2 linked regions of the Mus musculus genome follow. The protein of the gene in region 1 interacts with the protein of each later gene in a pairwise test. Links are inferred from orthologs where the notes say so. Each region holds a gene or a part of one and is shown on either strand. Other genes may lie near its edges.

Region 1 (3,510 bases):
TGAACACTGTCTCAGCACATTCCATTTGAATTGGCACTGTCTGTCTGTCACTGATTTAAATATGGTATGTAAGAACTGCTAAATCAAAGCACAGAAAACATCTCATGCTCAAACAGAATGTTTCTTTTTACTTTCATCCATTCTTCCTTACATTTTTGTCATTTGTCTTGTTTCCCTTCAGAAACAATACTCAGGCTTCAGTCTGATTAGGTCAAACAATAAAATTAGTAAGATCAGAAAACTGTATAGAAATTTTAACAGAACCCATAGGAAGTGAACATTGTTTAATAAAATTATTTACAGACCAGGGAAATTGGAGTTAGAACCAGAGAAGAATAAACATTACATGTGCATTGAGCTGGATGCATGTAATGGTAGAGTAGGATCCAGGGCATATAACACCGTCTGCATCTTTGATGCGTGATTGCATATATTACTGACATGAAAGCATGCGTAGGTACTAAAAATAAAGAAAAATAAACAGAATAGCATGAAATTGGCTGATAATGTAGCCCACATTCCATAATGGTGAAATCAAATGAAATATGAGTATTGTTAATAACATAAATCACAAGCAAAGATTTATGAAAATGGGTGATATTACATAAACCAAAAAAGCTTATTTTCATAACCAATCACTTAACTAAATCATACCTGGATGACAAAGCAACACAAAGCGACCATTGAAGAATTAAAACATGAAATAAAACTGAATACTAAAGGACAACAGAGAAAACTGGAACTGTTGACAGTTAAGACACTGTTTATAGCAATTAGACTTCTACATTTCTATACCTTTGTATTGCTTGCTCTGAGAATTTCCAATTCTTTTTGAAGATATGCTACTGATGTCTCTTTATTTAAGTCTGGGATAACTTGATGAGAAATCACAGGTTCGTAATTCTTCCCACATTCCACAATACTGTAAATAAAGAGGATTTTAAATAATTAATATACATGATTCCATACAGGAATACATTTCTTATTAACAATGAATAAAAAAAGATACTAAGGTTTAAACTTTTATGTAGTTAAAGTACAATGACCACAAAACAATAAATGTATCAACGTACAGATATCAATTTACAATGGGAAAAAACACACAGTGATCCCAAAAGAGACTCCGGTTCAGTCTAATTAGGCCTGGTTCCGTGACCTGACAAGAGTTCAGATTAGAAGCTATAAATGTTTTGATTTGTAGTTCTATTTGGGATCAATTTATATATTTTTTGCTTTTCTGATAATGGAAACAATCATCTCCCCAACGTTATGCAAGGAGTATCATAGTCACATTTTCATTATTAATTGAAAGACATTAAATTAATATCTATTCCCTAAAGAGTTAATAATAAATATATTCTATAAGACCCTGAAGAGACCATATCCAGAGGTTAAGCAAGGCCAATGATGGGAGATGGGGCCACCCACTCATCTCCAAATTTTTAACCCAGAAGGGCTACTGTCTAAAGGAAATATGGGGACAAAGTATGGAGCAGAGACTGAAGGAAAGGTCATCCAGGGACTGCTCCACCTGGGAATCCATCCCATATACAGACACCAAACCCAGACACTATTGCAGATGCCAAAAAGTGCTTGCTGACAGGAGCTTGATATGGTTGTCTCCTGAGAGGCTCTGCCAGAGGTGGATGCTTTCAGTCAACCATTGGACTTAGCCCTGGTCCTCAATGGAGGAGTTAGAGAAAGGATGGAAGGAGCGGAAAGGGTTTGCAACCCCATAGGAAGAACAACAACATCAACCAACCAGACCCCCCCCCCCGAACTCCCAGGGACTAAACCACCAACCAAGGAGTACACATAGGGGGGACCCATGGCTCCAGCTGCATATGCAGCAGAGGATGGCCTTGTCTGGCATCAATGAGAGGAGAGGCCCTTGGTCCTGTGAAGGCTCCATGCCCCAGTGTAGCGGAATGCCAGTGCAGGGAGGGGTGGAAGAACACCTTCATAGAAGCAGGGGGAAGGGGGATGGTAGACGGGGTTCTGGAGGGGAAATCAGGAAAGGGGATAACATTTGAAATGTAAATACATAAAATATCCAATAAAATAAAATAAGTATATATTTGGATTGCATGTGGTCACCGAAAGAAAGAAAGAAAGAAAGAAAGAGAGAGAGAGAGAGAGGGAGGGAGGGAGGGAGGGAGGGAGGGAGGGAGAGAGAGAGAGAGAGAGAGAGAGAGAGAGAGAGAGAGAGAGAGAGAGAGAGAGAGAGAAAGAAAGAAAGAAAGAAAGAAAGAAAGAAAGAAAGAAAGAAAGAAAGAAAGAAAGAAAGGAAGGAAGGAAGAACGAATGAACTGCTTGGGGGAAAAAAACCAGAGCTGACAACAATCACAAGCTGTAAGCAGGAAGTATAATGAAGAAATGAGAAGAAGATGGGTTGTTTCTGATGTATTAAGTATTAAGCACTGATGAGTGTGTGACCTAAGCTCTTGGCAGGAGCATACGCTCTGCCATTTACGTTTCTTATAAATATGTTTATTCATTCTCCCATCATCCTCACCTCTATACCCTAAAATATACTCCCAATTGTACTTCAGTAAGAATCTGACACTAAGCAGGAGGAACACCAATACAGTTATTGATTTTATTATGTATTGATATCAATGAATATATCTGAACAATTCTGAACAGAATAGCAACTCCACAAAACTTTTAAAGTAAAACTCCAGAAAATACAAAAATCAGAATTATGTTGTCGTTTTTAAAATCTAGTGTTATCTTTACTGCACATGATTAATTATCAAAGTAGCATAATCTCACTCATAATAAACACAGGTATCATAGACTCAAAGTTCCTCACAGACGATGACTTAAAGGCACAGAATGTAGAATAATAAGAAAGGCAAAAGACAGACAGAGCACAGGATTACTCTAAAAGCATTCAAATCACCCAAAACAGAGAACATAGTGATGGAAAAATAAACACCTTTGGGCAGGTTTGAGCTTTAATAAATAATACATCATTTACACCAGTTTCACAAGTATCCTTATATGATAAAGTCACAGAAAATAAGATTGAATAGGAAACAAATTTCATTGCTTTCTTTAAACCTATTTTGTGCTATCTCTCAGCTATCTGGATACATTATATCAATACCATGGCAGTAATGGAAGCCCTTATAGAGACCTGAAATTGTTTATTAAATTAATTAACTATTTTATTTCTTTACATCCCAACTGTTGCTCCCCCTCCTAGCCCCCTCTCTCAGAGTTCTTCCCCCGCCCCTTCACACTGAAATTGTTTCCAAGTCACTAGCACATTAAATTTATCCGACACCAAAAATGAAGAAGAGGGAAAATGTATTAAGGAAAGCATGTTGTTCCAAATCTTACTTCTTAGATTAAAACACTAAACCCAACACGCACCTGCACTCTGCAGATGCCCCTTCATCCCGACAAGGTTGGAGGACCTGAAAATTGCTGGGTTTTCTTCCTGGTAGTTCAAGGTCCTCAGATGGGACTTCATTGCCTAATTCGCGTATGCTCTGCTCAGAA
Region 2 (4,224 bases), on another chromosome or scaffold:
AAGGAGAGCCTGGGGCTAAAGAGCAAGCTATAAACTCAAAGAAATGAGCTGAGAGTGGTGGTCCAAACCCGGTAGACTAAGGCAGGAAAATTAGGCCAGTTCAAGGCCAGCCTGGGCTACATAATGGGTTTGAAGCTATTCTAGGCTACACAGGGAGACTCTGTCTAGAAACAAAGTAGCAGTGGAGATAGTGGGGTGGGGGTGGGGTATGGTTGGGGGTGGGAGTAGGAAACAACTCAGCAATAGCACAGGACAGTTCACAGCTCTCTGTAACTCCAGTCCCAGGAGGCCCATCCCCTCCTCTGGACTCTGGTGCACAGACAATCATGTAGCCACACAGACATGTAATTTTTTTTTTTAATCTCAAAGAAGTCATGAATGAATTAAAAGAAAAAGAGAAAGTAGTGTGGTAGTGAACACTTTTAATCCCAGCGCTCAGGAGGTGGACAAAGGAGAGTTAGAAAGTCAAAGAGTAGCCCGGCGTGGTGGCCCATGCCTTTAATCCCAGCACTTGGGAGGCAGAGGCAAGCGGATTTCTGAGTTTGAGGCCAGCCTGGTCTACAAAGTGAGTTCCAGGACAGCCAGGGCTATACAGAGAAACCCTGTCTCGAAAAAAAAAAAAACCAAAACAAAAACAAAACAAAAAAGAAAGTCAAAGAGTTTGAGGTCAGCCTGGGCTGCGTGAAACAGAGACACAGAGATAGGGGAACCGAGAATGAGTTAGCAGGAAGGTCGTGGGTATATTATATGAGTACCTAGTGTGCATGTGTCTCACGATTCCATCTCCAATATCACATGTAACTAGGTAACTTAGGTAGTTCTTTCAGATATGTACCCTGCTGGCTTTCTGTTCAAACCTTCTGCTTCTCCCCCTTACAAACTGAATTATGCCCACTATGCCCATTGCCCCTACTCCCTCTGATGCCAGAATCTACCTGTGGGGTTTTATCTCTGTGGAATGTTCTCTTCCTCTAGCCTAATCCTTGACCTGATGCCATCAGCTCCCCAGAGAAAGTCCACCCAGATGTCTTAGTCTTTTGTGATCACCATCTCCCCCAACGCACGCACTCATGAACGCACGCACACACATGCTCTGTAAGTTAGATCAGATATAATTGCCTTGGCCAAGATGGATAGGTCTGCCTCCCTGGGACAGATACCTTCATCCTGGCCTTGACTCGAGACTCCACATTGTCATACTTGGGTGAGCGCCACAGTGCCTTCAGTGGCTTAGGCTGACCCTGTTCCCGGCTGCGTTCCTGGTCTTGGAAGCGCCTCTGAATCTCTTTGATCCGCCTCAAGTTTTCCTTCTCATGGTCCTTTGGATTCTTCCCTGGAAGGGTGCAGGGAGGAATATTGCTAGGGACAGCCCTACCAAATGGCCATGCACCTCGGACTAGATCGAATATAGATTCACACCCTACCCTTGGCAGAAAGACCTCTCAGACAATCTGGGAGATGTCTGGTAGAAGAGAGGCCCTGGGTTCACACACACATACACACACATTTTTAAATACAACCAAGGCCTCTTCATGGAAGTTAGACATCATACCCACAGCACAGTTATCAGCTTATTCCCTTCCACAGTCACCCTCCTGGTTATCTTCTACATTTTATGATTTAGCATACCATTAATCACCGTGTATATTATACACATGGCCTGTCTTGTTCATTGCCTCCAACTGTGACTCCCATACTCCCCCCGCCAATTTTTTTTAAATTCACACATCCCAATTGTAGCCCCTCTACTCCCAGTCCTGCCTGTGCCAAATCCCCCCCCCCCCATTACCCCTTTCTCTTCTCCTCAGAGAAGGGGAAGCCTCCCTTGGATACTACCCTACCCTGGGACGACTCCCATACTTTTTAACCCCGTTTTCCTAACAGCTACAGGGTTTGGCACAAAGTAGGCACTAAGTAAACAATGCTCCATCAAGGTGTGAAAGCTTGAAGCGAGGGCTTTCTGCAGAAGGATAGACTCTGATCCTGCCAGGAGGTATTGTATTTTGCCCTTCTTTTATGCTAGAGAAACTAAGACCCAGAAAAGAACATTAACTGCATGGGCTCAAGGCAATTAAGAAGCACCCTATTTTAATCTCTGCTTTTGACCTAAGAATGCCTCAATACCCCGTCTGCAAGGACTTACTCTTAGGAGAGACCCCCGAACCGAGGGAGATGCACCCCAGTTGCAGCAGCACGTCCCCCACGCCTCGCTGGCCACGCTCTAGGATCTCTCGGGCTTCAGGCCTGATGCGAGGGCCACGAGGAGGACTGGAGTCCAGGTCCCGACCTGAAGTCAGCAGGTCCAGCTTCAACGCGTTTCCTTCCAGGCGTCCTTGGGCTGAGGAGCAAGACGCGGTGGAAAGCCGTGCTCAGGGGTGGGGCGGGGTACTCGCCCCGCCGAGGCACCCCGCAACTCACCCGAGGCCGGCCGCCGGTAGTAGTCCGGGCAGAGAGTGGGGTCTGGGGGGATGGGTCCAGAGATGCGGGACGGGCCCTCGCACATGATCCTACCGCAGCCCTGCAACAGTGCACCAGGGCCTGTTGCGCTGCGCAACTTTCCCCTCTAATCCCTGTCGGGTGCTTCCACCCTCCACCCGAGCCCTGCATCCCCGCGGTAGCCCCCATCACCGAGCCCCACCCCTCGACGACCGCCCGTCTCTAGGCGCAGACTGTACCACCGCCCCGCGACTAGCCCACTGCCCAGAGGGGTTCGCCGCCCCTCCCCCGCCAAGCCCCAGCGAGGGCTCTCACTGGAGCAGTTTTACCGCCAACTGTTGCAAGCCGGTAGGAGTTGCTGTTGCTTGGCAACAAATGGCTTCCTGAGGTCAGGGGTCAAATGACTAAGGCGAACAGCCTTCTGGGGTTTGTAGTTCCAGATGAGGAGTGATTCTAAGTCTCGGGTCTCAACAGGAGCCTTACCTCTCAACCTGTCTCCCCTACCAGCACTGAGTACCAGTCCAGCCCCGCTCTGGGCCTGAGGTTTTCTCTGATCAACTGTCGAGGGATGCACTGATTCCTCATAGCCTATGGCCTCAGAAGGGGCCAAGAGGCAGCCAGAAACCCAGAATGGGGCAGCAGTAGGGTTAGCCCAGGTTGCAGAGAGCCTTGAGGTGACTTGGGCATTTCAAAGCTCGGGAGATGGAGGGGTAGGGCAGGAGAGGTGGGACTCTAGGTAACCCAACCCTCTAACTGCCAGGCCAAGCCCTACAAGTAGAGAGGCCTAAGCTGGTTACCTTCATATTTTGTGGCCAATATGTAGTTAGGAGACACCACCACCCCCCCAACCAAGGGAGATGTACTCCAATTGCAGCAGCTTTGGGCTTTGAATAACTGATCCCCACAATACTTTGCCTGGCCATCGGCTCCCAATGACCTATGTGTATCTTCTAGTGTCCAGGAACAGAAGAGTGTCTGGTGCCGGCACATGAGACCTGCAGGAGCCCAGGCGAAGACAAGTGTCCCGTGGGGCACAGCTTAGAGCCAGAGCTCCAGGAGGAAGGAATAAAGGTGGGAGAGGAAGGGCTCAATGCAGGGGTGGAAGCAGGAGAGGAGAGAGGACCCAAGCCTACGTCATCCATCGTGAGACCAGCTCATGGGCCCAAGAGAAAGTGAGAGGGCTTTCGGAGGGAAGGGCTGGGAAGGTGGGTCTTATGCCCGGAGATTCCTAAATCCCCATTCCTTCAAGGCAGAGATTCTTGTCTTTGACCAATACCCCTCACTCCCAACTCTAGAACTTGGGGGCTGGGGGGTTGGTATGGATTTGGGACTTCTAGATCTTGCAAGGAGACTGAGCTACCATAAATGCTGAGCCTCTACTGGGCTTGGAGCTTCACTGTCTAAGAAATGGACAGCTAACTAGCTCTAGTGGACAGGCAGGGGTAAGCCCTAGGCTCAAGATATAGGAACCAAAGACTGAAGCCTGCCTCTTTCAGGCCTCTTGTCCCAGGTTTGGGTTCCCCAGCCCTCCCAGGGCCAAGCACCATGTCCATCCTAGGTCAGAAGTTGAGCTGCCACCGGGGGTGCTGCAGAAGAAGGAGGAGCCAGAAGGCAGCCACAGTGAATCCTCACTGTCCTCGAAACAGCACAAAAAAGCCAAGAAACGCAAGAGTGGCGGGGCTCCTGTGCCGCCCGCTGTGGCCAGCGCATCCGCACCCGCCGCCGAGACCTTGGGGTTGGAGCGTGAGTGGCAGTCCCTGGGCTCTTCTCTTGTTTTCTTTGTCTTCT

The links. The genes of interacting proteins can lie anywhere in the genome.
Region 2: the proteins of Mipol1 (region 1) and Enkd1 interact in binary tests that used the Homo sapiens proteins (3 or more experiments, as listed by UniProt). The two-hybrid records come from large-scale screens. The link is inferred for Mus musculus from reciprocal best matches to the Homo sapiens genes MIPOL1 and ENKD1.

What each region holds. Positions count from the first base shown.
Region 1 is NC_000078.6:57,303,423-57,306,932, reverse strand, and holds part of Mipol1 (mirror-image polydactyly gene 1 protein homolog), read right to left. Parts: coding exon 3,382-3,510; intron 923-3,381; coding exon 796-922; intron 1-795.
Region 2 is NC_000074.6:105,705,406-105,709,629, forward strand, and holds the start of Enkd1 (enkurin domain-containing protein 1), read right to left. Parts: upstream 2,804-4,224; 5' UTR 2,752-2,803; exon of another isoform or gene 2,519-2,751; 5' UTR 2,504-2,518; coding exon 2,419-2,503; intron 2,339-2,418; coding exon 2,144-2,338; intron 1,334-2,143; coding exon 1,161-1,333; intron 1-1,160. Other genes in the region: 4933405L10Rik (uncharacterized protein C16orf86 homolog), read left to right, coding at 3,027-3,110, 3,391-3,608, 3,995-4,179. UniProt on the Homo sapiens protein: Microtubule-binding protein which regulates microtubule organization and stability. Promotes the stability of astral microtubules and facilitates the proper orientation of the mitotic spindle.